Linked DNA regions of Tamandua tetradactyla. The protein of the gene in region 1 interacts with the protein of each later gene in a pairwise test. Links are inferred from orthologs where the notes say so. Each region holds a gene or a part of one and is shown in the gene's direction. Other genes may lie near its edges. The genes, in order: EXOC5, RAB4A, RAB14 and EDRF1.

Region 1 (7,862 bases):
TTCTTCCTTTGGTATTAGTTTGCTGTTCTTCTAGTTAGTGCAGATGTGCATTTAGGTTTTTTACTTTAGCTCACTTTTTTTTTATTAAAAAAAATTAACAAAACATTTAGAAATCATTCCATTCTACATGTACAATCAGTAATTCTTAATATCATCACATAGTTGCATATTCATCATTTCTTAGTACATTTGCATCGATTTAGAAAAAGAAATAAAAAGACAACCGAATAAGAATTGAAACGATAATAGAGAGAAAAAAAAACCTATACCTCACGTGCAGTTTAGCTCACTTTTTAATGTAGGCATTTAAGGCAAAAATTTCCCTCTGAGGCCTACTTTCAGTGCATTCCATAAGTTTTGATATGTTGTGTTCTCATTTTCATTCACTTCGAGATATTTACTGATATTTCTTGTAGTGTACTCTTTGACACACTGATTGTTTAAGAGTGTGTTGTTTACCTTCCATGTATTTGTGATTTTCCAGTTCTCTACCTGTTATTGATTTCTAGCTTTACGCCATTGTGGGCAAGGGGAGATGCTTTGTGTAATTTTGGTCTTTTAAAATTTTGTGATCCAGCATATGGTCTCTCCTGAAGAATGATCCATGAGTACTTGAGAAGAATGTATATCCTGCTGTTTGGGATTGCAGTGTTCTATATATGTTTGGTCTAGTTCATGTATCACGTTATTCAAGTTCTCAATCTCCTTACTGATTATCTGACTAGATATTCTATGTATGGGTGAGAGCTGTGTGCTCAGTTCTACAACTTTTATCGTGAGATGTCTATTTCTCCCTTCACTTTGCCAGCTTTTGTCTGTACTTTGGAGAACCATGGCTCCGTGCATAAATATTAATGATTTTTATTTCTTCTTGGTGAATTGCCTTTTTCATTAATATGTAGTGTTGTCTCTTTTAACATTTTCACATTATTAGTCTGATATTAGTATAGCTACCCCAGGTCTTTTTTGGTTAGTCTTTGTCTGGCTAACTTTTCCAACCTTTCACTCTCAACCTATGAGTCTTTGGATCTAAGTTGTGTCTCTTGTAGGCAGCATTTAGTTGGTCATAATTTTTTATCCCTGTTGCCAATCTCTGTTGATTGGGGAGTTTAATCTGTTGTCATTTAATTCTATTACTGTAAAGGTAGTATACTTCCAGCATTTTATCTTTTGGTTTTCATATGTTGTATCTTATTTTTGTCTCTTTTTTTCAACCTTCTAGTTATCCTTACTGATAATTTTCATTTATACGCTCTCCTCCACACATCTCACCCCTGTCTTTTCTTTTCACCCTGCAGAACTCCTTTAATTTCCTGTAGGGAAGGTCTCTCATTGATGATATTCTCTCAGTTCTGTGTATCTGAATATTTTACACTTGCCCTCATTTTTGAAGGACAGTTTTACCAGATAAAGAATTCTTGGCTGGTAGTTTTTCCTCTTTTTATATTTTAAATGTATCATTCCACTGCCTTCTTTTCTACATGGTTTCTGATGAGAAATCAAAACTTAGTCTTATTTGGTTCCCTTATATGTGGTGGATCATTTTTTTTCTTGCTTCTTTCAGGATCTTTGATATTTGGCATTCTGATTAGTGTGTCCCAGAATAAGTCTATTAGGATTATTTTGTTTGGTGTACATTACGCTTCTTGGATATGTATATTTATGTCTTTCATAAGAGTTGGTGATTATTTCCTCAAATATTCTTTCTGCCTCTTTTCTCTGCTCTTCTCCTTCTTGGATGCCTATGACACATGTGTTTGTGCACTTTGTGCTGTCATTCAAATCCTTGAGATCCTACTTGTTTTTATGATTTTCATTATTTGTTCTTCTGTCTGTATAGTTTTGGTTGTTCTGCCTACCAGTTCACTGATTCTTTCTTATTATTCATATCTGCTTTTGTGTGCCACTAGTATATTTCTGATTTCTTCTATGATGCCTTTCATTCACATAATTTCTATTTTGGTCCTTTTTGTACTTTCAGATTCTTCTCTATGCTCATCTAGTGTCTTAATATCCTTGATCTCTTTTACTATAATTTCCTTAACCTTCTTTAGTTGATTTAGATTTGTTTGAGCATCTTTGATTAGTTGTTCCAAATTCTGTGTCTCCTCCAAAGTTTTAATTTGTTCCTTTGATTGGGCCGTATCTTTCTGTTTCTTGGTAAGGCTTGTAACTTATTGGTAATGTCTGGGCTACTGATTATCTTAATGACTTTACTCCAAAGATCAGTTTCACACTCTTGCCTAGGATTTTATTGTTGATTGTTCTTTTTGTTAAAGCTCTTCTTTCACACTTAGTTCAACTTATTCTAGACCTTTAGAATTGCCCATGTTCAACTGATCATATTATTTCAACTCTTCTTCATTTGATTCTTGCCCTGAATTTGCAGTACAGTTTTTAAGATTGCACTATGTGTGCAATTGTTTCACCTCCAGAAAAGAAAGGAGAAAGCTTCTTTTCCTGGGAATCCTGTTTCTTCTGTGGCGTTCTTGATCTTCTCCTTTAGTTTTTGTTTAGCCTCTATGGTGTGTTTTTTACACTGCTTTTGCTGCCTCTTGTTGCATTTGCCTGGAGGGTACATTCTGGGGAGGAGGGTCACAAGAAAGGGGACTTTCCCAAGTTAGTTTTCTGAGCCAAAACGGGGCCCCAGCCCCACGAAGGAAGTGCAGACCTGGTCCAGAGAACTCTGTGGGCATGGTTAGGGAGGACACCAAAAGCTTTTTTGACAAGTCCCGTAAGTTGCACTTTCCTGGTCTGCCCAGCAGATGGCACCATTCAGCAAACTGTTCCCCGCAGCCCTATATAAATACTGTATCTTTTTTTTGGACATGGGCAGGCTCTGGGAATCGAACCCAGGTCTCTGGAATAGCAGGTGAGAATTTTGCCACTGAGCCACCGTTGCACCACCCTTAGTACTGGGTCTTTAAACCTCCACCACTTATGCCCATGACGATGGCAGAATTGAAACAATGACCATTGCCATCCTTGTCCATAGTGGGCTAAAACAGCAGTTCTGAGCCAAAACCCAGTAATACAAATTTTCCAAGCAACAGTTGTGATCAGAGTTTGGCCATGTACCCTCCCCCACCTCCCCAACACACATACACTATTCTTTGGGACAAGGACTTCCACATCCCTCTCTGTCTACAACAGCCAAACAGGGACCGGACCTCATATGGTCGCCTTTGACGGGTGTTGTCAGCTGCCGTGGAATGAGCTACGCATGGTTCTTTTACCACATTTTCTCAGCCCCTTTCTCCCGCTCTTCCCTGGATGCTGAACAGTGCTCCTCTGGCCTCCAAAGCCCCAGAACAGTTGTTTTAGACAGTAGCTGTTTTAAGGAAGTAGTGAGTCCTGGAGTTCCCTGCTCTCATTTTTGTGCCCAGTTTTTAATTGGGTTGTTTGTCTTTTTGTGTTGCGTTGTAAACAACAAAGTTCTTTATATGTTTTGTATATTAAACTTTTATCTGATATATGATTTGAAATTATTTTCTTCTATTCCAGAGGTTGTCTTTTCGTATGTTCATGTACTCTAAATAAAGTTATAAGTGGTATCAAAGAATTCTTGATAAAGAGTTGAGAGGATGGAAAGACTGCCTCTAGAAGAGGGAAAGGATTAGAAGATGGTGTTTGAATGATCCAAAGGGATAGCTTTGATTTGAATTTTTGGAACAGGGTAGAGAGGCTATTCAGTAAAATAGACAAGAAAAGCCAAAACATAAAGAAAGGTAATTGTGTGTCCTGGAAACAAAAGAAGAGTTCATTTTGAGTGGGGTAAAGCATGTATGAAGAGGAGTAGTGCCATGTAAGTTAAATTGAGATCTGATTGTGGAGGCCTGGAAATACCAGAATTAGGAATTGGATTTTTCCTTCTGTAAACATAGGATTAAAGTGTCTGAGCAGGAAAGTAACAAAGTTAGGTAATTCGCATATAGTGGTAGCAGCTTTATGACTTCCAAATTAGAATTTGAATAGTCAAGAACACATTTTCCCACAGAAACACATTAATATGTCCCTTAGATTTTCAAACCAAGTTACAAAAGCTATTTAAACAGATTTGGGTAAAAAGAAGTCCCTCCTGTTCAGTTATAAAGCCAAGTATATTTTAAGGAACTTGAGATAATACAAGTAAGGACCATCTCTTCAACTTCAGAGTGCTGAAAAGCAGTCTGTTTTAGCCATAACAGTTGTTAAATAAACATTTGTGGAAGCTGACTACTACTATATTATCATTTATGAAAAAAAATGTATTCATTCAGTAAATGTATTGAGTGCTTGACCCACCCTCTGCCAGGCATCATTCCAGTTGATGGAGTTTAAAGATGGTTTAAGATAAAAATCTAATTGGAGGCAACAGACATGTTAACAGATAATATAGTGCAATGGGAATACAGAAGTGCTTCCTGGGATAATTAGTTCCATGGTAACAGAGTAATGACATATAAATTGTATCTTGATGAATGAGTAGAAAAATTCCAAGTAGAAGGGCATTCCAAGGCAGAGATAGAAGATGTAGCATGTAAGAGGTTCCAGTTTGTAACGTGAGGTGTGTTCAGGAAATATGGAAAAGAGGTAGAATGTGTATATACTTGTTTTGGGAATAGGGAGTGATGGTTCATAACAAGACATTGAAACCATAGCGGTAGTTTGTTGGAAAGTTTCAGAAGGCCATATAGGCCATTCTTAAGGGGGCTGACATGACTTTTTTCTTTTCTTTTCTCCAGATAATTTTCCTGATAGTATGAAGAATGACCTTAAGTGGAGAGAGATTGTTAACTGGGGAAATAAAAGGACTTGGGTAGTTTGGCATACTTCTTGCTATTTGGTAGGTGTTCTAGAATTGTCTCTTGATTGATTACTCTAGGCAGAGGAAATCTTGACTTGATTCAATGGGGATAGAGAAGAGAGGGAATTTAAGTGATATATTGGAGGTAGAACTGAAAGAATTTGATGACTGAGGAGTTGAATTTATTCCATATTTTTGAATTTTAGAAAGTAGATGGTTGGTGATTCACTACAAAGAAGACTGGGAAGAAATGATCAGAGCTAGAAGATTACACTAGGGGAGAATTACAAAAAGGGAAGATTATATTTTCCAAAATGGCTACAGCAAGATCTTCCATACCACAATGTGATGTTGACACTTCCCAAAGAGAGGCAAAGTTCATGTTCCCTTCTTGAACGTTATCCTGTACATTTCCATTCTACCTTTGAATCCTATTTTGCCTAGCTTGAGGCAAAGCATTTTTTATAGTACTCTAAAAAAATATTCAATAAACATAATTCATTTATTTATTCAAGTAAAACCGCAAAGATTTCCAGAAAAAGCAGATCAGGTGGAATTAGAAAAAAAATCAAACATGGTAAAATTCATTTAGTTCCAGCGTCACAATTTGCCTCAGCTCATAGTTGGTTTATATTACAGTCTTGGATTTATAGCACCATGTTATGTCTGTTCTTTTTTTGGGAGGGTGGGGGTGGTGACCCTTTTTGTCTTGATTTTTATACATGGATCTTGGCTGATTTTCAAGATGCTCTGTAGAGGATTTGGCCCTGGCCCCACTCGCCAGTAATTTGCTTTATTGTACATCTGCTGTGTGCTCATCAGTGCTCTGTTCACCACAGGTGAAAAGCAAGAGAGGCGTGAGACAGATCCTGCCCTTGCTTTCAATTTAAGTGTGAAGAGAAAAGCAAACCTTACAAAAATGGTTATAAAACAAATGACAACTGGTAATAGTTTGCTCTGTGTAGGGATATGACTTTTTACAACTCAAAGGGATGTAAGAGTGGAGAAATAAGTGGAGATAATGTGGAGAAGAAACTACCTTCAAGGAAGAAATGGAAATTGAGCCAGGCTTTGAATAATGGTATAGTGGTGTTTGAATTGTGAGGGGAGAAAGGGGTGGGTTACCTGTCCACAGGAAGCAGTAGTAGCGTGGATTTGAAGAGAAGAATGAAATATGATGATAGGAATATGGTGTTCATTCTGGGGTTTAGAGAAATTTGAGCAGGTAGAGCAAGATAAGGACCTTAAAGGGTAGGCAGAGGAGTGTGAACTTGAGAGTATAGGAATCACAAAAGGAAATGTCTGTCTAAAGATTTTTAAAGATTTGTTTTGCAGTGCACTAAAATTAAGGAATACACGTTACAGGTAGAACTTGAACCCTTGGGTTAGTTGGTTTAATAGGATATAGAAATACCTCTCTGAAATACTTTTTTTTAAAGTCAGGATGAAGATGAATGTACTGGTTTCTTTGAATTTGTGTGTGGTTCTTACACATTTTATTAGATCTATTCTAGAAAAAGGTGCTATAAGAAAATAAAAAATTTAGTTGGATTCTTTTTCAAGAAACTGTTAAATTAGGGCTTTAGGTTCTTGTCCAAAGGTTTGGTGTCATTATTTTTTATGGAAATGATCACAGACACACCATGTTTCATCTTACAATTGGTAGCATTTATAAATAATGATACCAGTTTAACAGCAACACAGTTACCAGTATTGAATTTAATATCATTTTATATTAGTCTACAGGGCATAGTTCTTCAATTTTTGTTTTTGTTTTGTTAATTTTTGTGTTTAATTACTGTATTAAAATAAGATGAACATTTACCTTTGTCACTTGCAAAATTCAGAAATTTTTTTGGGCAGATGTTTACAGATATCTTTGAGAGACCTTTTTGGAGGCCTTGGTCAGTTAAAGGTTTTAGGATGTATTAATTTTTTTTTATAATTGTAAATGTCTTTGAAACAGCCTTAGTTATTAGAGAGCAAGGTATTGCGTTTATTAGTTTTTATAAGCAGAAAGTTTTTTTTTTAATCTCCATCCCATTAGGAGCAGTAAGACGTTTATCTTTAAAACCTCGTAATAGATAGTGTTATTGACTCTGAAGATAAAACCTCAGACACTTGTTTTCTAATTCTCCTCTTCTCTCACTGGTCGCTTCTACTTTGTCTCTTTTTTGGATCCTTTTTCCTTTTCTTGTCCAAATGCTGTCGTGTCCTTTTCCCTCCTAGATGATTTCATTTAGACCTGAGGTTTTAAATAACCACCTACCTATATGTTGATGACTCTAAAATTATATCTAGCTCCAGTTTCTTCCTGATAGCACAAACTTGTTTTTCCAACTATAGTCTCTGTCTTTTCATTTTGTATCTAATAGACATCTCCAATATAATATTCAGAGCATAGCTATTGTTTCCCCAGTTTCTCATCCATCTCCTTTCTCAGTCTTCCCCACCACCTTTCAGGCCTCAAACCTCTGTTCTGGCCTCAGGTCTTTACAAGTCCATAACTCAGTTTTTTCTTTTTTCTCCCTATATCCAGTCCATCAGCAATTCCTATTAGTACATCCTTCAAAATACCATGAATCTGATTATTTCTCAGCACTCCGTCCACTGCCACCTTTGTGTGAGGCACTAACGTTTCTTGACTGGATTACTACAGAGTCATAGTTTGGATATTCTGGGAAGCAAATTCTGAAGCAGAGTTTAGTGTGTAGAATGTTTATTGAAAATACCCTTGAGAGCCACATCTGTGAAGTTGCAGGGTAAGGAAGCAACACTGGGCAAAAGGAGAAGTAGAACTACAATGCTGACCCTAAAGGTTGAATGCTATAGGGAGATTTGGAGCTAAAATGGCCTGTTAGAGTCATCCTTCTTAATCAGTCATTAGCTATGAGTCACTCTGGGAAAGGTATGACATTGGGTAAGGTGGTTTTCTGCAGCTGAGGGGATCCCTGGAGATACTGCCTGGTAAAAGCTGTATATTGATAGCTTTACTGGCACTTAAGGCAGCAATACCTCCTTAAAGGATGGGACATCTGGATGGGACACATTGGGTGTGCTACAAATCACCTTTGTA
Region 2 (7,846 bases), on another chromosome or scaffold:
TCAGCTAATGAGTAAGTGACTGCAGAAAAAGAGATCCACAGACTGAGCTTTGAGGTCAGGAAGGAGCACTCCCTAACATGAGGAGACAAAGCTGGGAGTCCGGAAAGGCCAAGGCAGCTAGAGTTCTCAGGGCATGTTATGGAGAGGGGAGAGATGCACAAATAGAGTGATCTCGAGAGATTTGCAGAGAGGTCTCTTTGAGCCTTTCCTACTAATCAATGCTAGGCATACGAGAACACTAATTTTTTTCTTTACCAAGGCCAGGTAAAGAATAAAGGCTTGAGGAAACTATCCCCAGCACTTGTTGGCCACAGTCATGACCCTAAGGAATGTTAAAGTAAAACAAGAGAGAGAAAGGAATCAGGGGATCTGCAGACATCAGTCTTCAGACAAGTTTATTTTCAGCCAAGTACAAAATTATATACTAGAAAGAAAGATGATAAAGGTTGTTTGCATGCCAGAGCTATACAATGCAAAAACAAGTTCCAGGAAGTAAATACTTCTAAGGCTAGGATGTTAATTTCCCTTAAGCAAGTCTCTTCCACACTTCATTGTGCTTTATCTGCATATCTCGGCTTCTACTGAAGTTCCAGATCCTGAACACTCAAGTCTGAATTTCTTGTGTCTGCAAGCTTTAGGTTAAACATCAGCCTTTTAACTCCTACAAGCACTTACACAGAGTCCAGAATATTTCTTTTCCCACAAATCATAGCGGAAAACCTCAGAATTCAAGGACATTGGGCAGAGTATTCAGCAGGGTTTAGCCTTAGTAATGGGACAAAATTTTACTCTGGTTCCATGAAAAAGCTTAAAAGTAGGACCCGAAAGTATCAAGCTGGTTCAAAGCTACTTAACCATATCTCCAAACAAAACAAAATTTTCAATGTCCAGCATCCAATTAAAAATTGCCTGCCATGCAAAGTAGGAAAATACCACCCATAATTAGAGAAAAGTTAATCAATATAAAATAAACTCAGATGTTAAAATTAGCAGAAAGTGGTAATAAAACTATTATCAGAACTATTTTTCATAGGTTTAAGAGAAATCAAGAATGTTAAATAGAGAAAATGGAAGATCATCCAAACTGATCTTCTAGAGATAAAATTATGATATTTAAGATGTAAAGAACACTGGGTAGAACTAACAAAACATTGCAGGTTGCAGAAGAAAAGCTTAGTGAACTTAAAGACGTAACAGAAATGATCACTTAAAGACATAATAGAAATTATCCACAATGAAGCACACAGAGAAAAAAAAGATTGACAAGAAATGAACAGAACATTTGCTGTGGAACAAATTCAACACGATTGCAATCAGAAAAATATTTGAAGAAATAATGGTTGAAAAATTTCCAAATCTGATTAAGAAAAATTATAAACCCACAGACCAAAGAAGTGTAATGAAACTTAACTATATGAACCAGGAAGAAAATCATACCAAGTCATGGCATAATCAGACTGCTTAAAACTAGTGGTAACGTGAAAATCTTAAAAGCAGACAGGGTGGCATAGGGTGGTATATGGGGGGAAAAAGCAGACAGACATAAAAGATATTACATACAAAGGAATAAATAGAAGAGCAACAGTAGACTTCTTGTCGGAAACAATATAAGCCAGAAAATAGTAAAGCAACATCTTCGTAGCAGGAGAAAGAAAAAGCACACCTTGAAATCCAAATTTAGCAAAAATATCTTTCAAAACAGAAGTAAAATTAAGACTTTTGCAGATAAACAAAACTGAAAGAATTCATCACCAGCAGACCTACACTAGATGATTTGTTAAGGCAAAAGAGAAATGATGCCACATGGAAATCAGAATCTACACAAGGAATTCTAGATGTAGTAACTATGTACTTTTTTCTTATTGTTTAAATCTCTTTTAAAGAGAATTGACTATTTAAAGCAAAAGCAATAGTGAATTACTTGGTGTCTATAACATATGCAGCAGTTGTTTTCATTTTGCAAATGGAAACCCAGTATCACAACTGGAAAAGGAAGAAGACAACAGCACAAAGGCGAGAGCAGGATGGCAATGAACTGTTTGCTGTATTGTTATTATACTCCACATAAAGTGTCATAAAATCACTTGGGGTAGATTACGATAAGACCTATACTATAAATCCTAAAACAATCACTAAAATAATACCACAAAATGTTGTGTCTAATAAGCCAACAATAGAGATAAAATGGAATAATAAAAAGCACTTCTGTTCACTAAAGCCTAGAAGCAATGGCACTGCAGTAGTAACGTGTGTGTATACATCTACATAAAATTGTACACTTAAAATGCATACTTAGCATGCAGATGAAAGCCAAATACGAAAGCAACAAAGTAGCCAAGCCATTGATAAAGAAATATATGCAAAATAATCATAGGAAATTACAGCTCTCGAAATATTTCAGCATGGGCCTTCTCTGATTTAGAAGCAAGGAAATTTATCTGCCAATAGTGTCAGAAGAAAGAATAAAATGAAGAGCCAAATGGCTATTGAGGAAGAGGGAAAGAGGCCTCAGGGAAGGTCTGATGCCAATTTATGTGGAGGATGGAGCCAAATAGACACACATAAAATGTATGTACTGGCATTTTTCTCACAGTAGTTGGCTTAGCCAATGCCTATTTTTAAAATACTTATTATCGAGAAGTATCCACATACATTCAGTCCAACCATATTATACAACCAATGGCTCACAATATCATCACAAAGTTGTGTATACCTCACCATGATCATTTTTAGAACATTTGCATCTCTCCAGGAAAAGAACTAATGAAAGAATTCATACACCTCATATCCCTTACCCCTCCCTCTCATTGACCCATAGTATTTAAATCTACCCAATTTTTATCCTTTATCTCCCCCTATTATTTACTTATTTTTTAATCCTTATTATTATTATTATTTAGTCATCTGTCCATACCCTGGATAAAAGAAGCATCAGACGTGAAGTTCTCATAATCACACTTGCACTGTAAAAGCTATATAGTTATACAACCTTCTTCAAGAATCAGGGTTACTGGAGCACAGTTCAACAGTTTCAAGTACTTCTCCCTAACCACTCCAATACACCATAAACTTAAAACGGATATCTATATAATACATAAGAATAACCTCCAGGATAACCTCTTAATTCTGTCTGAAATCTCTCAGCCACTGAGATTTCGTCTTGTCTCATTTCTCTCTTTCTCCTTTTGGTCAAGAAGCCTTTCTCAATCCCATGATGCTGGGCCCCAGCTCATTTCCAGGAGTCAGGTCCCACGTTGCCAGGGAGAATTACACCCCTGGGATTCATGTCCCATGTAGGGGGGAGGACAGTGAGTCCACCTGCCAAGTGGGCTTAGAGATAGAGTCCACATCTGAGCAATAAAAGAGGCTCTCTTAGGGTGACTCTTATGCATAATCAGTAGGCTTAGCCTCTCCTTTGCTCTCCCTAGGAATAAGCTTCATAGAGGTGAGCCCCAAGATTGAGGGTCCAGCCTATTGAATTGAGCCATGCCTTATTTTAGCGTTTTATATATTTTAAACAAGGCTGGGCCTTATAAGATACGGCCATGCTCAGATGGATCAAACTCCCAAACAAAATTTCCTTTCCAACAAATTACTATCTCTACATTTCCAACAGAGATTTGGAACTGTTTTGTTCTTTAAGCCAAAACATCCAGCCAACGACTTTCTTAACCTCAGAAAGGTATCCCCAGCAGATGGTCAGGAAATGTTTCCTGCCAATAAATAACATTTCCCAAACAGTGGGATTTAAAGGGGCAGTAGTCTAGAGTCTTTCAGGCACTCTTCAGCACCTGCACACCTTAAGTTTCTGACAGTTTTTCACAGATACCCGCTCAGCCTCGTCCAGATAAAGAGCCAAACAGGTTTGGTTCGAAAGGTCCACCTCACAGGAGGTAAACTTGTTTTCCCAATCTCAGGGTTGACTCAGGCATGCAGGACACAGGCAAACACTAGGTGACACGTGAGCCTAACTCCCTCTTAGTTACACATTAACCAAGTCCCGGGGTTTATATAAAGGAAGTCTTTTCTCTGGCTGAGAGCCTCGAATGAAGACAAATACGTCTTCAATGAGGAGGACCATTTTGGCGAAAGACTGTATCTGTTCCCCAGCCTAGGCACTTTGCCTCCTCTGTCCAAAGTTGCTCCTACTGTGCCCTGCCCCGCGTCAGGCTGCAGCGACACCCCAAGCCTGCCCACCCTCGACCCCCCTTCCCCGCCCCTCTAATGCAGGTTTCCTCAGTCGCGCCCATCCAGGCCCCACCCCGACGCTGGTATCGCGCACGTGCTCCTTGTTTTGGTGCCAGAGGGGGGACGCGCGCCCTCGCCCTCGCCCTTTCGGCCCCCACCCCCGCGATCCGCGTGCGCAGGCGCGGCGGTGGGTGGGCGGCCGGGCCTCGAGCTCGCGCGCCTTCTGCTCCGCCGCCTAGTCCTCGCGGCCGCGGCTCCCCGGAGGAGGCGGGGTTCAGCCATGTGCGCCTGCGCGGAGCCGGGCAGTGCGGGCAGAGCCGCAGCCGCGGGGTGGCGGGCGGTTGCCTGGGGACCCGGTTGGGCCCCTCCCTCCTTCCCCGTCCACAGCCTCCTACTACCTTATCCACCGAGACGCAGAGAACCGGCTCCGACCCCTTCCCCTCCCGCCGGCGCGAGCCGGAGCTGCAGCCTGTGACCCCGGGGAGAGGCGGTGCCGCTTCCCAAGATGTCGCAGACCGCCATGTCCGAAACCTACGGTACGAGGCCTGGCCGGAGCCGGGGCGGGCGGGGGGCGAGCAACTTGCAGCCCGCGCCGGGGTCTCGGGGTTCTCGGGGGTGCGCGAGCCCCGCCCCACCTCGTCCAACCCCTTCCCTCCCGGCCCGGGCGCGGGCTGCTGGCGCCCTCCCGCGGGCGGAGGGCAGGTGCGGGCGCCCTGCGCGGGGCGGGGCGCGGGGTCCCGGGTCCCGCGGTGAGAAGCGCATTTACGTGATCTGCTTTTAAAAATTTCCTGTTGCTGCTTCTCCTCGCTGGCACCCTAAACGCTTCTCCTTTCTTACTCTGATTTCAGCAGCTCAGAGGTTTGGGAAGCCAGTTGGAGACTGACTCTCAGCTGCGATATTGACCCCAGCAAGGGATCTGAAGGGCTTAGGGCGACGCTTGCATTTGAGTGTTCCTCAGAAATTCCAGTTTGACCTTTCCTGTTTTTAAATTTCTTTCCTTTGGAATTGCAAAGAGGGGTTACCGACAGAATAATTCCTCTCTCCCTGTGGAAACCTCTTACCTCATTTATTGCTTTCTCTCCTTAGGGTTTTTAACCGCCTCTATTTTGCATTCTGGCTATTTATAAATGTCTTAACTGCTTTTAAAGACTGTAAACATCTGAAAACAGAACCGTATTTAATCTTTGTTTCTCGTACAGCATCCAGAGCTGGAGGTCCTCAGCAAAAAAAATATATATATGTATATGTGTATATATAAAAATTATGAAGGCCCACCCAAGTCATATACTGTTTTGTTTTGTTTTTTAACACCCTGGGCGGTAAGAATAGACAATACCGCATGTTTTTGCTTTGTGTCAGGATTGAATCAGTGTTTACTGTCTCTTGCCAGGCTTTCAGTTGTGTGCATTCTCAGATTAAGACTTTGATTTGGAGTTTTGAAGTTTTGCAGTCCCAGAGAGAGGCTCAGGTTCAAAAGCACTGTGACTACCACAAACCAAATTGATCTTATTTCCATTTGCTCCTGTCAGTGACCATTATTCCAGTCAAAAAATATGTGTAGAACCCACTGTTGTGGAGTATGCTAGGTACTCAGCAGGGAGTAAAGCAGACATGCTCTGGTCTCATGGGCAAGTGGGAAGTACAGTGTTAATTATGACACTAATGAATGAGTAATTAAAAACCCAGGTAAGCGTGCTGAAGCTATGTGGCCTAGGAAAATGTGTTAGAAAGAAATCTGACCTAGGCTGGGACGTCAGGTCAGGGAGTTGTTAACAAGTCACAGCACAGCATGTACCCAGGCCCTGTGAAACTGAATTCCAGTACAGGGCCTGTGATTTGAGTACAGGCAGCTAGGAGAAGAGGGATGAGGCAGAGAAGTAAACCTGGTCCTTGGTGGGGCCGGACTTTGTAGAGGGTTTTGGCCTTTCTCCTAAAAGTGGTGAGAAGTATTTGATGGGTTTAAATAGTGGGGCCAGAGAGGATTTGGCCAACCTTTGATGACTCTTGTGACTGATACTTGACCTGCTCCTTTTGGCACTTGGGGCATGATGCTGTGTTCTTAGAAGGCACAGGAAATCTTCCATGAAGTCACTGGTTTCATAAGTACCAGTGTTGTGGGGGCTGAAAGTGCCACAGTAAAAGACAGCCATGTGGTGTGGTTGTCTCTATACAGATCTACAGTCGAAGGTTTCATAAGGAAAATAAATTTTTCTAGCTATTATTAGTTACACTTTTGCTTCTCTTTATTTTGAAGTTCCCCTTTCCCATCTTTTACCCTTTGATGTAGCTAAGGAGCAGTAGGGAGGGGTGGAAAGTCCAAATAAGAAAACTGGGGGTAGGGTGTTCTTGACTGGAAGAATCCGGGAGATAGTTTTGTATGTTTCATTTTTCTGATTATGAAGCGATAAAATATAACATTGGCATCTGACACCTTCCGATACAGCTAATTGAATTTTTGAGCATCATAGATTAACTGATTAAACTCTGATGGTAAGACTTTGATTATTAGTATTCTTAATTCATAATATCTCCCAAATATTTTTTCACTTTTTACATTCTGAATTTAATCTTTTCCTCATTAGAGAAAATTAGTTTTAGAAAGAGGAAGTGTGGTGGTAGTTGAAGTTGCCCACCTAAAATAAAAGTCCCCAAAACCAAGTACAAAGCTGCCACTTGTCATTGACACATATTTACTTAGCATTGTTACTCAAAAGTAAAACCAATGCCCTCCTGCCTGAAACTTGCCTGCTAGTCTGGTGAAACAATGTTTCCTTAACCTTTAAATTCCTTTATATTCTGTGCTCATTTTCTCCCTTCTGTAAAAGGAGTCTCTATATATCTTGACAGGGGTACTATGCAAAATAAAGAGCCAGTGTTTGCAGTACACAGTCAATTAGACATATATACATGGTGTTTAGCATATTAAAGCAATATTTCACCTTTCATTGACTGAGTAGTATTGAACATTTTGTTGCTCAGGAGCCATTCACCAGGTGAAAGCCTACTTAGTATAATTAGTTACTGAAATCTTAAACTTAGGCAACCTGAAATCTTCATTCTGAATATCCCTTACTTGAGACAAGGTTGTCCCCAATACTGTTAGATTCAGAACATTCTTAAAGCCAATTAGTATTATTTGGAAGTCCCCTTGGACTCCTTAGGAGCTTCACTTTGGCCATCGGAAACCTGGAAGGTCACAAAAATAATTGTGATGCCAAGATTTGTGTTGCAAAACTAACCAGTCAAGTCGGTAGTGTAAGTGATTCTGGGCAGGGGAGGGGAGGATAGGAATAAGAAATAAATTTAAGTGTTAGTTTGAGACTAAGGAATGATCTAAGGCAAATTTCTACACTTTGAAATTTATGTAATCTACAGTGGAAACCATTTATGAAACAAGAAACCCACAACTCAAATTGCTGGTCCTGTGTTATTTTTTATTAAAACATAGTCTTAGTATTTTTTTTTCTTTTTTAATGCAGTTTTATTGAGAGGTAGCCATACACCATGCAATCCATAGTTTAGAATTTTTATCTTGTGTTTTTTTTAAAGTGTTACAGTATGATATATTACCATATAATTTTGAGTATTAACAGAATATTATCTTTTAAAATGTATCATTATAGGCTTTGATAGTAAAAACGTGATTTATGGAGAAATT
Region 3 (8,626 bases), on another chromosome or scaffold:
TCCAAGAGTATAAATTTGTGACTCCCCACCTTTGGGAAGAAGTCATGATTATATTAATACAACAGCTCAAAATGTTAACTAATTTGCCGATATCCTAGCAAATGGCAGAATTAGGGTTTTAATCCAGCTATACCAGACTTCACAGCTTTTCTACTTCCTCCTTGGGAAAACAGAGGATCTAACGAAGAAACGGGAAATACTACTGCAAAACTTCGAGCAACGCAAAAGGGCCCAATAGCCAGAGGCCAAGAGTACCCGAGACAGAGGTGGCCGGGCCGCAGCCCTGTGGCACCCCCTTGTGGAGCATGTCTGAAATGCTCTGCTCTGCCCAATTTCAGTCAAACCTTTCAGCTCAGCTAAGCCCACAGAGGCCTGTTCCCATTCTTTTCCTCACCTCTTTGTCTCTCCAAGTATTTTTTATTACTCTAGGGAAACCCCTTTGATTGCTGTTGAATTCCACACTATTAGATAAAGAGGTTTTCTTGTTATCAATTTATATGGAGAAACTGCTTCAGGAGCTATCAGTTGGCTCTAAATAAAGAATACAGTTACACTGGACTGCGTGCTTATTCAGTGCCAGGTGCAATGCTAAGAGGTTTTTATGTTTTCTCTCATTTTACCTTCATAGCTACCCTAGGAATTAGAATCCAATATTTCCCCATTTTAGAGACAAGGACCTGAAGAATTAGAGACTTTATGGAACTTATTCAAAGCCACACAGTTACTAAGAGGCAAAGGTGGGACACAAGTCCACTTACAGCATTGGGTAATTTCTGAGTTGTCAGTTAGGGTCCTTCAAGTATTTTCAGGTTCTTATTAGAGTGGCTTCCTCCACTACTTCACAGCCCCATTCTGCCCACCATGGGTGGGAAAACAGAGTTCCCTTTCCCCAGTCCAGGTTTCTATGAGGAAGGATTTTTCCTGAGCAAACATCTGGGTTCTCTCCCCTCTTTATCCATTTGTGAGTATATAAGTAATTTATCTGTTTGGCAAATTTGAGAAGAACATCTGGTCATGCTCAACTTTTCTTGCTTCTTCTTGCTAGGAGGGAACTGTTCATACAGTACTTTGGAGCCCATTTGTGGGGTTCACTATTGGTGGCCCCCCTTTTTTATCACTCTAAAAGACTCTTCTTCAACCTGGCTTATAACAGTAATCAAGGTGATATTTTTGCCTCTAACTGTCTCTTTTCTTTCTAACCTTTTTTATTGTATGGCATAACATATATACAAAGAAAAGAAATAAAAAAGCAATAGTTCTCAAAGCACTCTTCAACACGTAGTTACAGGACAGATCCCAGAGTTTGTCATGGCTACCATAAGATCCTCTCCGATTTTTCCTTCTAGCTGCTCCAGAATGTAGGAGGCTAGAAGAAATATTTTTCTTATCATCACAATTGATTTTTTTCCTTCTTTTTTTTGTGAAAAATAACACATATACAAAAAAAAAGCAATAAATTTCAAAGCACAGCACCACAATTAGTTGTAGAACATATTTCGGAGTTTGACATGGGTTACAGTTTCACAATTTTAGGTTTTTACTTCTAGCTGCTCTAAGATACTGGAGACTAAAACAGATATCAATTTAATGATTCAGCTTCATATTCATTTGTTAAATCCTATTTTCACTGTATAACTCCACCATTACCTTTGATCTTTCCATCCCTCTCTTTAGGGGTGTTTGGGCTATGGCCATTCTAAATTTTTCATATTGGTTGTAGAATCTTATATATTGCCCTAAGCGTTCTTTAGGATTGGTTGGAATTGTCCTGGGTGGGGTTTGGCAGGTTATGATAGGTAGCAAGGTCTGACTGAAGCTTGCTTCAGAGCAACCTCCAGAGTAGCTTCTCAACTCTATTTGAACTCTCTTTGCCACTGATACTTTATTGGTTACACTTCTTTTCCTTCTTTTGTTCAGGATGGAATTGTTGATCCCAAGGTGCCAGGGCCAAATTCATCCCTGGGAGTCATCTCCCATGTTGCCAGGGTGACTTTCACCCTTGGACGTCATATCCCACGTAGTGGGGAGGGCAATGGTTTCACTTGGAGAGTTGGGCTTAGAGAGAGTGAGGCCACAACTGAGCAATAAAAGAGGTCCTCCAGAAGTAACTCTTAGGCATACCTATAGGTAAGCTAAGCTTCTCTGCTACCTACATAAGTTTCACAAGAGTAAGCCTGAAGATTAAGGGCACGGCCTATTTATTTGGATGTCCCTATAGTTTGACACAGTATCAGGGGATTTCCTGATGTAAAACTTAATAGTTTCATATTTTTTTTCTCCCATCCCTCAAGGGACTTTGCCAATACTTTTTGATTATCTTCTTAATATACTCTAGGATGTATCCAGGCATTACATTAAACTATACAGAATTAAATGACCTCTTTCTTATTCTGGGCTCCCTTTGTTTCAATTCCTGTTTTTTGTTTTATTCATTAACTCGTCCAGAACCCAGGCAAGGGAAGTGGATACTATTTATTCAGAACCCTTCACAGATTCCAAAATGGTTATTCTGGGGGAGTTACACAGGTGGGAAGGATTTTTGTGGTCTACTGCTGGTCCCAATCCTTGCTCTCCCTGGTGGTTTGGCTTCCCCAGGCTTTTGAGCTATTCTGATGCCTGTTTTTTTAAGGGAAAGAATGGCAGTATGGCAGAAGTGGCTAGTTATTTCTCAATATCCATTCTTTTCTTTCCCCTTTAGTAAGACTCCCTCCTAGGATGGAGACTAAATTTTCCAGCATCCCTTGCAGTTAGATATGCCCACATGACTCATCAATGGAACACGAGCAGAAGTGGTGTGTACAACTTCTGGATTATACACTTAAAGGGGAGGCACCTGCTATCCACTGTTTTCTTCCCTCTGCTTGCTAGAATAGGACATGTGGTGGCAGCTGGACAAGTATTTTGAACCACAGTACAGAAGTTATATTTTTGGCTGGCAGTGCAACAACTAAGGAGGAGCCTAAAAATTGCCACCATCAAGCTGCGATACCAACCCCAGACTGCTTGCCAGACTTCTGTGTGAGAGCAGAAGAAACTGCTTTCTTGTGAAAGTCACTTTCATTTTTTGATCTCAGTTACAGCAGCTGAACCTATGTAACCTAACTAACATACATAGGGATGCAAGAAGTCGCTTCCCAACCTGGACATGGGGAGGGATGGTGCGGCAGAGCCCTAACTGTGCACCTGATTTACATGTATAAGGGAATCAGTGAAAACAGGAAGGGTAGGAGTGGGTGTTTTTGAATGCTGAGAATATTCAGATACTTTCAGTTACACTTTCTCACTTTACCTAAGCAACAATTCTGTAGGGCTGATTTGTTAGCCTTTTTTACAGTTGAGGCTCAGGGAAATTAAGATATTTGACTGAGATCGCACAGATAATAAAAGCTGTGCTAGAAATGGAATTAAGGTCAGTATGACTTTCAAAATCATAGTCTTTCCTCCACAGCATACCATTCACTCATATACAGTACAATATAATACAATATAATGTAAACTTGCTCTTGTTGACCCTCCATGGGTCTCCTGGGTTCCTCCAATCTTGCAAGCAAATCTCTCTCTCTCTCTCTCTGGAGCAAAGGACAGAAAAACTTCCCATTATAAAAGATTTGGGCTCCTAAGGTCAGGCTAACTTTCTGGTAACACAATCAACTGTGTGTGCCATCATCCATCTGGACCCATCCATATCACCTTCATGGGAACTGAGGACCTGAGGAACTGATGCAAATATGCTGATGCTCTAGCTCCTTCATGTGTTGCAAATAGCAAAGTTCTTCGTCTCTGAACCAGGAGTTTCAAGTCTTCCTCCTGCATTCAGGAAACTGTGCCAGCTAACTTGCTACCTTGCACTTAGGGTGAAATCTCAGCTTTTGACAGCACCTGCTATATTTGTGCCATTAGGAGAGTCACCATTTGTTCAATACACTTGTATCACATCCCACATGCTTTTAACTTACATGATTTTAACCATATGCGCAAGGCCAAAGAAAGCAATAAAAATAATTTAAATACTGAATATTCCTTCCCTTTCACTAAATGAGTGCCTGACTTGGGGTAAGTATGAGAGGAGAGTTGAATCTGCAATTTTCTCAAGAGTTCTCAGTTTCCCTGTGGATTTCATGGTGTAAGCATTTGCCACACTAGTGGTTCTAACATTCAGAGACGCATATTTTTCACATGCATCGCCTGTGACTCTTAGCCAACCACTTCATCTAGCAGTCAACCAAAGAAAAAAGTAATGAGAATCAATGCCAGAGGAAAACTAAGAGACAATGAATCCATCTTCAGTGTGGTGCATTCCTGACAAATTTTCAAGTATATTTTTCATATGACAAGTAGTTCAGTTTTCACGTTTGGCACAGGCAAATTTCTTGATTTCAGAAATGTTAAAATGTGACAAAAGAACATATTTATTAAAGAATGTGGGGATGGAAGCATAGACTTTAAGGCTGGAAGGGATTTCAATCTCACTTTATAGTAGATTAGTATGTAGTCATCATTTTCATTTATTAAAGGTCAGGAATTTTGCATATATTATCTCTTTTCATTTTCACATGGACCCATGTGAGATCGATATCTAACCCTATTTTGCAGAAGAAATTGAGGGTCTGAGAAATCAACCAAGCACATATTATTAGAAAATGTTAGAGCAGGAATTCACATCCAGTACTTCTGAGAAAAGAGATTTGTCAATTGCCATACATTCCTTCAATAAACTCCCACTGGTCTTGATTGCCACAGCAAGTTTAAACAACATTTGGAGATGAGTGAAGCAGCGTTGAGCTATTCCATTAGGCATATTAAGCACAGTGCCTAGAGTTCACAATATTTGAAGGCCCCACAAAACATTTTTAGTTCTTTCAAAAGAAATTTTTTAAATGGAGGAAGGGATCCATGAAAGTAAAAGTGCTCAAGGTCTATGAAAGTTATAATGCCACCCTGCACGCAAGTGCGCTAAGCTTTCTGGGAAAATAATGGTAGATAAAAGTTTGAGGATGGGGAATGGCGGAAAAACTGAAAAAAGTGGTCACAATTTCCCTCTACCCAGAAAAGACACCTCCTGAGCAAGGTTAGAAGGGACAGAGATGAAACAGTGGAGAAAAGAGCACATTCTAGCGGTCTAATCTTGGACAAGCGACTTGATCTCGCCGAGCCTCAGTTTTGCCATCGATAAAACGGGTAGAATGGGGCGTTAATGACTTAGTCCGCTTTTTTTTTTACCGCTATGTACCAACCAAGAGCCAGAACAATCTCAGCAGGGGCCAGACTCCGCGCGATTCTGCGCAGTAACTTCGCTAGGAAGCGCGAGGACGCACGACTTGCGTATAAGTGCTTTCCTTCCGCCCCGTTAGGCGCCGGGGCTAATGGGGCGGGACTCAGCGGCGACACGACGAGTCCTGAGAGGAGGACGGTAGAAGGGGCGTGGCTAGCAGGCCGGGCCTTCGTAACCCTCTTCCGGGCTACGCCAGCTGCGCGCGCATCCTTCTCCCCCCTTCTTTTGTGGTCCGGCCCATTGCGAGGGTGACAGGAAACCCTGTGCAGGGAGCGCCGCCATCTTGGACCAGCCCGGGGAAGATCCAGAGGGAGCCGCAGGAACAGTCCTTGCTGCCACCGCTACTACCGCCACCGCGTCTGCCACCTCTTCGTACAGCCCGCCCACCTGCCGGGGCCTCGGCCGACTGCCCCCGCCTCCTCTCTCGTTTCCGTACTCCTCTTCCTTGTCCTGACGCCCCCCTCCCGCCCGGAAAGCTGCCCAGCCACCAGCAACCCCCCAGGTAACCCAGGCCTTCCGCACTGTCTGTTTCGCTGAAGCCTCCCCACCCGGCTCTTCTGAGGGGGGTGGAGGGGTAGGAATGACAGCGAGACCTGCTTGCAGGCGGGCGGTGCCATAGGAGCAGGCCCTGTCAGGCCGCTGCGAGCCCAGGAGCCGGCCGTGGGTGCCGCCGGGCCTGACCGGACTCCCTTGCGGGGTCGGATGGCGTCCCCTGCACTACCCCTGCCAAAGCCACCTTGTCTTCCCCACCCCAGCAGAGACCTTCGAGGCGTGCGGGATAGGGTGTGTTCCCACCTCGTTTTCCCCGCCTCCTCGGCGGGACTGGGCAGGTCCTTTTCTCTTGGCTGCCTTTCTCTAAGGCTGCAGACCACCCCCGCATTATTTATCCACGCGTGCCCCGCCGCCTTCCAGCCCGCGAGCCCCAGATGTGGCATCCCCCGTCCCGTAGGCCGAGTCTGACAGCGAGTACAAAAGGCAGCACCTCGCAGTCTCGCCTGGATTTTGGACTGGCTCTGGCTGCCCCTGTTGATGTAGGTAAACTGTCTCGGGACTTGGGCTGAGGAAGGGGATTCTGCGTCTGTGCTTGCAAGTTCTGTTTTTGGTGAGACCCTGTAAGCTTCATGATATCCTATAAGACCAAGAAGAAGAAAAAAAGTTTTGACATTTCAGCTGTTTCAGAAAAAAGGAAGGCGCAAACGTGTTTCTAGGGTTTGCACTCTGCTGTGTCTAGGTGTTTTCACGCGTTTATTTTGCCTCACCTCGGCCTTGGAGATATGTTAACCCAGTTTACACGTGAGGAAACTGAGGCTTAAAGTTGTGATATGGTTGGTTATTGATGGTGCCTACATGCAAAACTGGCCCCTTTCTTCTAGGGAGAGAGACATGACTATTTAAAATGCAACTACAATCTAATACCGTTTTTCCGATGTTTGGATTGGTTGACAGCTGATACCACCTTATGACTCAAAGTCCAGCATGTCAGCCACTGCACTGCCAAGTCCTCATTCTCACAACCCCAGGAGAGAGATAGCAGGATTTCTCTTTTATATGTGAGGAAGAAACTGGGGTTCCCAGAGCCCAAGTACTCTCCTGTGGTCCCACAGCAAGTGTCAGAATCTAGGTGTGAACTCTTGCAAAGTTTACTGCCTATTTCATTATTGCACCACAATTGGCTGTGCTTTTTATTGAGAGGATAAATTTGATTTTGCAATATTTCCAACAGCCCCTTCCCACCCCCATCCCCCACCCCCAAAAAACAACCTTTCCAAAAATTTTCTTCAAAGGTCTGCTTAGGCATTTTTATTTGGTCATGCCTTGAAGCAATGTGATATAGTGGTTAACAGTTTTCACAGTCATAATGCCTGCAGTTTCCACTCTTGTTACTGCCGCTTCCTAGTCAGGTGACCTTAAGCAAGTTACTTAACCTCTCAGACATGAGTTTAAGAATTTAAGACATGAGTTTGTAAAGTAGCTGGTATATATTAGGCACTTAATAAATGGCAGTTATCATAAGGATGTAAAAACTCAACACTAATAACCGTTAAAAATTCCTTGAAATTAAAGCTACATTTAAAAGTTCTAACTTTTAAAATTTTCTGTTAAACTTTATATTTGCTGCATATTTCAACTATACAATAGAATTTGAAGTGTTCTTACAACTGAGTTTATCAATATCAAATATCTTAGCATAATTTTAGTAAGAGGTACTATTAGAGGAAAAGGCAGATAGGATTTGTTAAAACTAGGGTTATTTTGAGATATTTCATTTTTTTTAAAAGTTGGAATATTTTTATGTGGTTAAAAATATGTGTAGTTGGAGATGATACTTTACAAATAGAGGTAGCAGAGATAACTTTACTTTTAAAACTTATAGAAAATTTTAAACATATACAAAGTGGAGTATAATGAGCCTTCATATACCATCAGACAGTGTCAATACAAAGTAGAGTGTAATGAGCGTTCATATACATCAGTATCAACAGTGATCATTCGTGTTTCATTTTTATATACCTGTCCTCTCTCTAAATTATTTTAAAGCAAACATGGTGAGTCATTTCATCTGCAAATTTTTCAGTTACTAATTCTGTTAATTCCAGTAGTGAGTGAAGGAATCTCCTCCCAACCCCACTCCTCCACTTTCCCACTGAACAGAGGTACACTATTTTAGTACTTTATTTCCTGTTCATAGCATACCATCAAAATTAACTACAAAATTTTGTCTTTCTCTTGATACATTGAGTCCTTTTTTTCTTATATTCACATTATTAATTTATGTAAAATGTGGCACTTTTGTGAGGTAGTGTTTTAAGTGGGTCTCAGAAGGGGTGGGTTATTTTTAGAGTTGATACTACTGTTGAGAAAAGGAAATTGAAAGCTCTTATATTAGATTATTAGATTAACTACAGAAGTTTTGTGTTCCTCTGATTGACAAATCAAGTAGCATTCCATTTTAATGGGCCTGTAAGTAGATCAAATGGGTTCTGTTATTGAGTTCCATGAAAGCAGTTCCATGACAGTGTTGTCATTTTGTTCATTACTATATTGTCAAGGCCTCACACAATGCTTTGTGCTTAGTAGGTGCTCAACAAATATTTTCACATTAGAATCACACAGGCAGTCCATTTGGCTTTGGTGTTTTTAACAACATGTCCTGCATGTAAAATAAAATCTTACCAGTGTAAATAATGAGGATAAGAATTTAAATTACCTGTAATAGTTACTGGGTTTCTTTATCCTGGTCAGTCTTGGGTCATGTATATAAAGAGTATAGAGTGGCACATCATCTGTTCTAAGGAATAGAATAAAATAGCTCTGTAACAGTTGTGAAAGTATTTGTCAGTCATGGTGCATAAG
Region 4 (7,827 bases), on another chromosome or scaffold:
CTAAAAGATCAGGACCTGGAGCCAAAAACTCAGGGCCTTGTGAGGTCCAGCTGGTAAATGCATGAAGGGCTGGTTATATGTAAGGCTGGTTATGTGTAAGACACTAGGTCATGGAAGGTACGCTGGCAAACTGAAGATCTCCTGCCCCATTCCTTCTTATTGTGGGGGTGTGGGGTACATGGTCCAGGAATATGAACCCAGGTCTTCCACACTGAAGGCGAGTATTCTACCACTGAATCACCCCCTACTACCTCATTCTAAACATTCCTTGAGCATCCCCACTCTACCAGTGAAGTTGTTTAGGAACTCCAGTGGCCTTAAGCACAAGTACTTTTGGAGGGCCCCCCAAACCACATCTGCATCTACCTTATGTATAATTTTTTTCCTGTAAAAGTTTTTTGGAAGATTTCTAATTTTGCTTTGGAAAATACTTTGAGAGGCAAGAAACTAAATGAATTTTGATTGACAGTGATTTCTCTGAAATCATCATGTATACTGGGAGGGTTTTTGCAAACTGAGAAAGTCTAACCTTCAAATTGTTTTATAATGTAACAAAATATGTATGAATACTAATTTTAATAATTAATGACATTGACCCTGCAATATTTTGGAGATATTTCATAAAACATTTTTGGTTTTGATTTTGCAATTAAGAAAAAGTGTTGACCAAAGTACCCATTAACAGATGAATAGCTAAACAAACTGTAGTATACATACACAATGGAATATTCTTTAGCCAGAAAAAGAAGTTCAGTTCTGATACATGCTACAACATAGATGAACCATGAAAACATTAAGCTAAGTGAAAAAAGCCAGACACAAAAGGACAAATGTTGTATAATTCCACTTCTATGAAATAGCTAGAATAAGCAAATTCATAGAGACAGAAAGTACATGAGGGGTTACCAGAGGCAGAGATGGGGGAGGGGAGTGGGGTGCTAGAGAAATAGGGAGCTATTGTTTAATGGGTGCAAAGTTCATGTTTTGGGTGATGAACAAGTTTTGGTAATGAATGGTAATGAAATTTTGGTAATGAATGACCACAACATTGTAAACGTAATTAATGTCACTGAACTGCAAAGTCAAAAATGGTTAAAACGGGAAATGTTATGATAAATAAATACGTTACCACACATGTATTTATATATTTAATGTAAAAAATTTTTGCGCCAACAACAGTATCTTTATGCCTCAAACATTTTGATAAATATTTAAAAGGCCTATTGGCCTTGGTCATCATACCTACAGTGCTTAACTGTGGTCCTGTTGGCTGGTGCTGTGCCTAGTCTTAGTGAATCAGAGTTGACTAGATAGGACACCTACTCCTGGGGAGCTCAGTCAGCAGAGGTAGATACAAACAGGTCATTTCTCTATAATGTGTATAAGGACAGTATAAAGTTACATACAAGCTATGGGAACAAAAAAGAAGAACCTAAGGAGTAGGGACGGGGAGGCGTCACTGTAGACTTATTGGGGGTAATACCAGGAATGAATCTTGAGAGTTGGACAGGAATAAATCAGATGAGAAAGGGAAAGGTATTCTAGAGAGAGGACTAGCACTAGCTAGGACTAGAGTTATGGAACAATACGGTTGGAGCAGAGAAATATAAGCAGTTTATTCATTCAACAAACAATTCTTAAGTAACAGAGAACGTAAAGCACTGGGAAGCAGGTGAACATGTGAGAGCGTTGGCTGGTTAAATACCAGGAAAATGGTACTTAGAGGTCAGAGCAGGCCCTGATAGTGGGAGCAGGGCTGGAGGCGTGAGGAAAGTGGACACGAGTTCAATATAAAACAACAGAAAATAGTGTCTTAAAACTTGAAACTGTGGAAATAATGATCGATGGTTTCCCACATTATATTTTAATCCTTTACATTAGAAACCATGATAGTAACTTAAAAAAAAATACATGCGAATGTTTTGAATAGAGAAAAAATTTAACAAGCGCTTAGAGCTAGAAGAATGTATAAACTTTATGTAGCCCAGATGTGCCCAATATCACAAACCCACAGGGATAATCTTTCTTTACTACCTAAATCTCTCTAGTCATGACCCTGTGTAGCCAGAGGAAATCCAGTCCCTCCTCAAGGTCCCTGGTCCCTTCATGACTCAGCTCAGCTCCAGTGGGCCTCTTTTTCTGTGCACAGTTCCTGATTCTCCTTGTTTCATTTCTTCCTGTCTTCTCAAAGGCTGTTTGCAGTGCATTTTCCCACTAGACATCAACAAGGTGGCAGGCATTTACTTCTCAGGGCTCCTGCAAAATCTTTGAGTCCTGAAAAAGGAATTACTTCTAAGTCAGGAAACCTCTTCTTGTAAAGACAGAATTAAACCATAAAGCAACAGAATCAGAAGATTATCAGAAATTAAGTTATACATATGTATAAAAGCTAAAAAAAAATCTTATAAAATAATACATGATTAGAAAAAAGGGGACACAAAAGAAAACTTTTAAAGAAGGAATTTTAAATCACTTATCTTACCGTCAGAGGTATCTTCATGGATATACACATAAATACAGACATGTTTTTAAAATTGAGATATTCTATATTTACTTTGTAAGATGGCATTTATTGAGTTGTCATTGGGCTCGGGGGGCGGCGGCGACATGGCGGGCGCACTGCTGCGGAAGGCGGCGGGCTATGTGCGGAGCAAGGAGTTCCGCGACGACCTCATGAGTCTGCATTTTTGGGGCCCAGTAGCCAACTGGGGCCTTCCCATCTCTGCCATCAATGACAGGAAAAAGTCCCCGAAGACTGCCAGTGGCCCAATGACGTTTGCCCTGTTGTTATTCTTTGACATTTATGAGATTTGCCTACAAGGAACAGCCTCGAAACTGGCTCCTGTTTGCATGCAATGCAACAAATGAAGTAGCCCAGCTCATTCAGGGAGGACGGCTTATCAAACACAAATGTCTAAAAAGGTATCTGCATAACAATGGAAAATAAAGAACATGCTTTCTGAAGGGACAGCATCATCACCTTCTACTGCTGAGTCACAGATTCCATCATCACAGATAGTCTTGCTAAGGAAAAATACGCTCTATGCTATTTTTACTAACCAGACTATTTTTATAAAAATAGCTGAGTATCTAAACCAACTGTCTGCTACCTTACAAATACTGGATATTTTCTCTTCATAAAGAGTAGCCTAAAACATGCAATTAGTTTAAAATTTCCAATGACGGCTTTACCTGCAGTAATATGTATATTATCTTTTAGAATTTACTTGATGAAAACCTGAAGAGAACAAAATTTATGACTACTTAGCACTTGAGGATTCAGAATTTTGGACATTTTCTTTCATGATCACAAGAAAACCACCAGTTGTCCTCACACCGAAAACCTTATTTCCAGTGTTTGGAAAATCTGTGTATTTTCATGCAGTGTGTATACTGAAATGTTGTAAGTTAAAGGCAATAAATAGCTTAAATATTTGCAAACGGTAAAAAAAAAGTCATTTATTAATATTCCATCATGTACACTGTAAATCTCATTAGTCTTGAAAAACAAGTAATGGCTACCTGAGATTTCATTATGATGTACAAAATTGATTTAATCATCCTATATTAGATATTTGAGTTCAACTTTTTATTCTAAGTAACAATATTACTTGTACAAAAAATAATCAGATTGCAAAATATAAACAGATAAAATCAAAGTTACTACACGTTAACACAAATATCTGCAAAATGCAGCATTAAATCAAATTCATCAAGTTTAATTCGTACACATGATTTGTGAATTGAGTTTGGGTCCCAGATTCCTGATTGTGCACATGACTTCGGCGTTATCAGAGACAGCGAGTTTACATCAAACGTTAATAACAATTTGAAATAGTAAAAATAACTTTTAAAGCACCTTTCAATAATTGACTAGTATACTAAAGTATATTTCGTGAGGATGTGGCTGCATTTCAACTCTGCTCTGACACTGGTGTGGAGGCCCGGAGCAGAGAGCGCAGGGCCCGGCGAGGGGACGGCGACCCCGGCTGACCCCTCCCCTCCTCGCTACTCCAGGCACCTGCACCGTCCCCCGGGGGCTCATTACAGCGCAGACCGCGGCCCTCCCCGGCCCAGCGAGACAGAATCTGCATTTTAACCAGGTCCCCAGACGTTTCCTACGGACTTAAACCTTCCGGAAGCCCCTGGCTAGTTTCCTGGCGCCTGACAAATAGGTCTCATGAGATGCTCCAGGAATTACCGAGCCGCGGACCCCTGCGCTCCGAAGCCCCAACCAGGTGCCACCTCTTCTGAGCCCGTTTGTGCCGCATTTCACCTCCGGGGTCCCCGCGCAGGCTCTGTGACGCCGGGGAGGGACCCCTCACCCGGGCAGCCTCTTCCTTTCTGGGCCTCAGGGCGCCCGTCTGTGAATTTTGTGGGGACACTTGAGGCTGCGGAGGGAGGAGGTCTAACACTTGCTAATTTACACAACTGCGTGTCGCCTACTACTTGGAAAGCGACATTTCCCCTCCCACCTTGGGACTCTTCCCCAAGCCCAAGTCGCGAGAACGGTTTGCCAACAAAGACGCGAGGCCACCGTCCCGAGACGCCGGAGCGCCAGGTCCCGCGAGAAGTGGGATCCCTCAGGGCCGCTGAGAGGCGCAGGCGCACTACAGCTACCGTCCTGCCCACCCCCGCCGCGGAGGAGGCGGTTCCCTCAGAGAGAGGCGGGCCCGGGCCTCGCGGACAAAGCTCGCGATATTTGATTCGTGTCACCACAATTCCTTCCTTCCCGGGGCCGGAAATGCGGTCTGCGGAGTGTTGCCTGCGCTGAGCTTGCTGAGGCTACCTCGCCGCTGGTCAGGGTTCCTCTTCGCCTCGACTTCCGTGAACCGAGGTGATGGAGGACACCAAGGAGGCCGGAGCCGAGGCTCCTCCTGTCGGGGCCGCTGTTCCGGGAGGGCTCAGCCTCCTGCCCCAGGGAGAGTCCGAGGAATGTTCTGCACAGGTGAGCCTGCCGCGCGGGACCAGCCCGGGGTCCGGGAGCTGTTCGCCCGCTCCGCCGGGGAGGCTTGTGACGGTTCCCGGCCGCTTCTGGCGCCTTCTGTCCTTGACAGCTCCAGGAAACGGGAGCAGAAGTCTGAGTGCCCGTTGGGGTATTCAGGTTTTTCACTTGGGAGCCGTTTGTATCAGAAACAGGCTTGGCTACCCACTAGGTGGTAAGCGACAGGTGAGTTAGACATGATCTGTGTTCTCAAGGAGCAGGCATGTAAATAGGTGGTTCCAAGGCATGGCACACTCGTGCAAAGCTGGAGGAAAGAAAGAGTGTGCTAGGGAGAGACTCGCCAACGTTGTGGTTCTCAGCTGACTCTTGAAGGATGCAAAGAGTCTGCCAGGCCCAAAAGAGGACCGAGTGAAAGAAGGTTGGAAAATGAACCCAGACAGTAAGCCTGGAGGTTTTTTGTTTTTTGTTTTGGGGAGGGGGGGGGCGCGGGGATGCAGGTGAAGGCTGTGAGGAACCCTGTGTGCCTGGCTGTGGAGTTAGAGGGTGAGAGTATTTGTGTAATGAACTGAAAAATCAACTACTAAATGTTTGCTTAAAAACAAGAAAGCCCCACGTAGCATACCACAAACTAGTTTTTAAAACATGTATATTATTGAAATCAAGATATATTTGATTTATTACTCACCAGAGACATAATTAAATTTGGCCTTTAGATAATGTAACACTTGATTCTCTTTAGTTTCTGCCTCTGTGCTTTCTAAAAGTAGATTGATTGGCCTATTTCCCAGCTGATAAATGTAATTATCATACTCCTTGACTCATCATTTTTTCTTTGAAGGTATGCGTAAAAGAGCTAAGCAAATGTCACGTTGTAATACATTTATCAAGGGTCAGAGTAATCTGTTCCCTTCTGAGCTTGATGTGTTGTTTTTTTTTCCCTTCTTATAAAAGTGGAATTTTCATTACTAGTCATTAACATTTCATTCAATGGGTTAATTAGGGATCAGCTCTGTTTCTTGGAGGCAGTGAAGTAAAGAGCCGAGCTGTGGTGAAGTACTCTTCTGCCCCTCCTCGGACAGCATTTGCCCGCCTTGAAGAGAAAACAGACTTGAAACTCCCCCCTGCCAACTGGCTACGGGAAAGTGCCAAACTGGGCCCAGCAGGAACTACCATTCTCGGCAATAGTAAGAGAAGCAAACCATTTTCAAGGTAAATATTAATTGATGCCATTTTTATCTGCCCTTCTATTGTCCTTAAAACTTTAATACTTGTATTTTCATTTAGTTTATGTACTTTGTCAATTTGCCAAGAGTTGTCAGAAGAAAAAGGTCACATTTGACTTTCCAAGTCCTTTTCTCCTCCCAATAATAGATGATAATAGGAAGATATCAATTGTATGTGCTTTTTTTTGTTTGAAGACTGCATGGTTACTAACAAAGCAGAGTTTTGATCATTAAAATTCAATCAGCTGTTTTAATTTTAACCACCTTGGATACCTTTTGAGGTATCTCAAAGGTAAATATGAAGAATTAGGGTGATGTACAAGGAGAAAATCCTTAACACTGCTTGCCTGTTTTCATTAAATAGTGGTGGAATGTCTGATCTAGAAGAGCCTGATATAGGAAACTCAACATGTTAGGTGATCTACACACTTCATTTTGACACTTACAGGAAAAACCTTTTGGAAGTATTTAAAGTTGAGAGTGTGGCCCAATATCTTAGAGAGAAAAATGTACTAACATCCTTATTCTTGTAGATGTAGACCATGCAAAGGGTGGGTTTTTTTGTTCTCTCAGAGTGATTAAACCTGAAATATTTCCACGAAAGATAGCAAGAGCAGTAAGTTCGTTAATACTTTATAAACAGTAGTTTTACTGCTTAGAAATTACGCTAAGGAAGTAATGCTCTAGAAGCTAAAAGTTAAATTTATAAGATGTTGCTCCTTGTACCACTGTTTGTACTAAAAAAAGTTGGAAACCTAAGGGTGTTGTTTTAGAAGGATGGCTTAGTGAATTATGATGTGTCGACACAATTAAATGTTATGAGGTGATTTAAATGATAATTATAATTAGAGTGTAGAAACACAGTCACTCTGCTAACTATTTTACATGCTTATCCCATTTAATTTTTCCATTGACCCCTTGAGATAGATACTGCTAATATAACTATTTTGTATTAGAAGACTGAAGCTTAGAAAGGTCAAGTAACTTGCCTAGACCACATGGTATCATCATAGGAGCATGCTTTGAAGTTAGGCATCCCTACGTGAGTAGTGTCTTGACTTCACCACTTACCAGAAAACAGTGACATCACTACCTTTCGGGCTTGTGCCTCAAGTGGTTCCCAATAAAAGTTGGGCCCTCAGTTAACATTGTTTTTAATTCTTTCCTTCTGGCTGTACTGGTATCCCAAGGTGCATATGTATTTTTTTTTTTCGGTGCATATGTATTTTTAAAAAGAATAATACTGTATATCATTACCAACACAATCCCAGAAACTAAAATCCTGATCAATTTTCCTGTTTCTGTTTTTGTTGCTCTACTGATTGGTTGAGGCCTACCCATATAATTTAGGGTTATCTCCTTTTCTTAAAGTCAAGGGATTGTAGATGATAATCCCGTTTAGGACATACCTCCACAAAAACATCTAGGCTAGTGTTTGATCAAACATCTAGACATCATAGTGTAGCCAGATTGTCACATAAAATTATCATACCACTTTAAAAGAATGAAATCTAAAACCTGGCTGTTCTGTCTTTGAGATTTTGGGGGGTGCTTGGTGATTATAAAAATAAAAAATAATTTTAAGTGCTTTTATTCTAAATGTTTTCTACTAATTGCTTCTGTGGAGTATTACTGTATTTCACCAAATACCATATGCCA

The links.
Region 2: the proteins of EXOC5 (region 1) and RAB4A interact in binary tests that used the Homo sapiens proteins (3 or more experiments, as listed by UniProt). The two-hybrid records come from large-scale screens. The link is inferred for Tamandua tetradactyla from reciprocal best matches to the Homo sapiens genes EXOC5 and RAB4A.
Region 3: the proteins of EXOC5 (region 1) and RAB14 interact in binary tests that used the Homo sapiens proteins (3 or more experiments, as listed by UniProt). The two-hybrid records come from large-scale screens. The link is inferred for Tamandua tetradactyla from reciprocal best matches to the Homo sapiens genes EXOC5 and RAB14.
Region 4: the proteins of EXOC5 (region 1) and EDRF1 interact in binary tests that used the Homo sapiens proteins (3 or more experiments, as listed by UniProt). The two-hybrid records come from large-scale screens. The link is inferred for Tamandua tetradactyla from reciprocal best matches to the Homo sapiens genes EXOC5 and EDRF1.

The regions. Positions count from the first base shown.
Region 1 is NC_135338.1:8,508,669-8,516,530, forward strand, and holds the start of EXOC5 (exocyst complex component 5), read left to right. Parts: upstream 1-4,726; 5' UTR 4,727-4,741; coding exon 4,742-4,825; intron 4,826-7,862. UniProt on the Homo sapiens protein: Component of the exocyst complex involved in the docking of exocytic vesicles with fusion sites on the plasma membrane.
Region 2 is NC_135328.1:153,603,176-153,611,021, forward strand, and holds the start of RAB4A (ras-related protein Rab-4A), read left to right. Parts: upstream 1-4,449; 5' UTR 4,450-4,693; coding exon 4,694-4,724; intron 4,725-7,846. UniProt on the Homo sapiens protein: The small GTPases Rab are key regulators of intracellular membrane trafficking, from the formation of transport vesicles to their fusion with membranes.
Region 3 is NC_135328.1:36,167,439-36,176,064, forward strand, and holds the start of RAB14 (ras-related protein Rab-14), read left to right. Parts: upstream 1-5,486; 5' UTR 5,487-5,774; intron 5,775-6,208; exon of another isoform or gene 6,209-6,303; intron 6,304-8,626.
Region 4 is NC_135339.1:88,275,267-88,283,093, forward strand, and holds the start of EDRF1 (erythroid differentiation-related factor 1), read left to right. Parts: upstream 1-4,320; 5' UTR 4,321-4,840; coding exon 4,841-4,948; intron 4,949-5,945; coding exon 5,946-6,154; intron 6,155-7,827. UniProt on the Homo sapiens protein: Transcription factor involved in erythroid differentiation. Involved in transcriptional activation of the globin gene.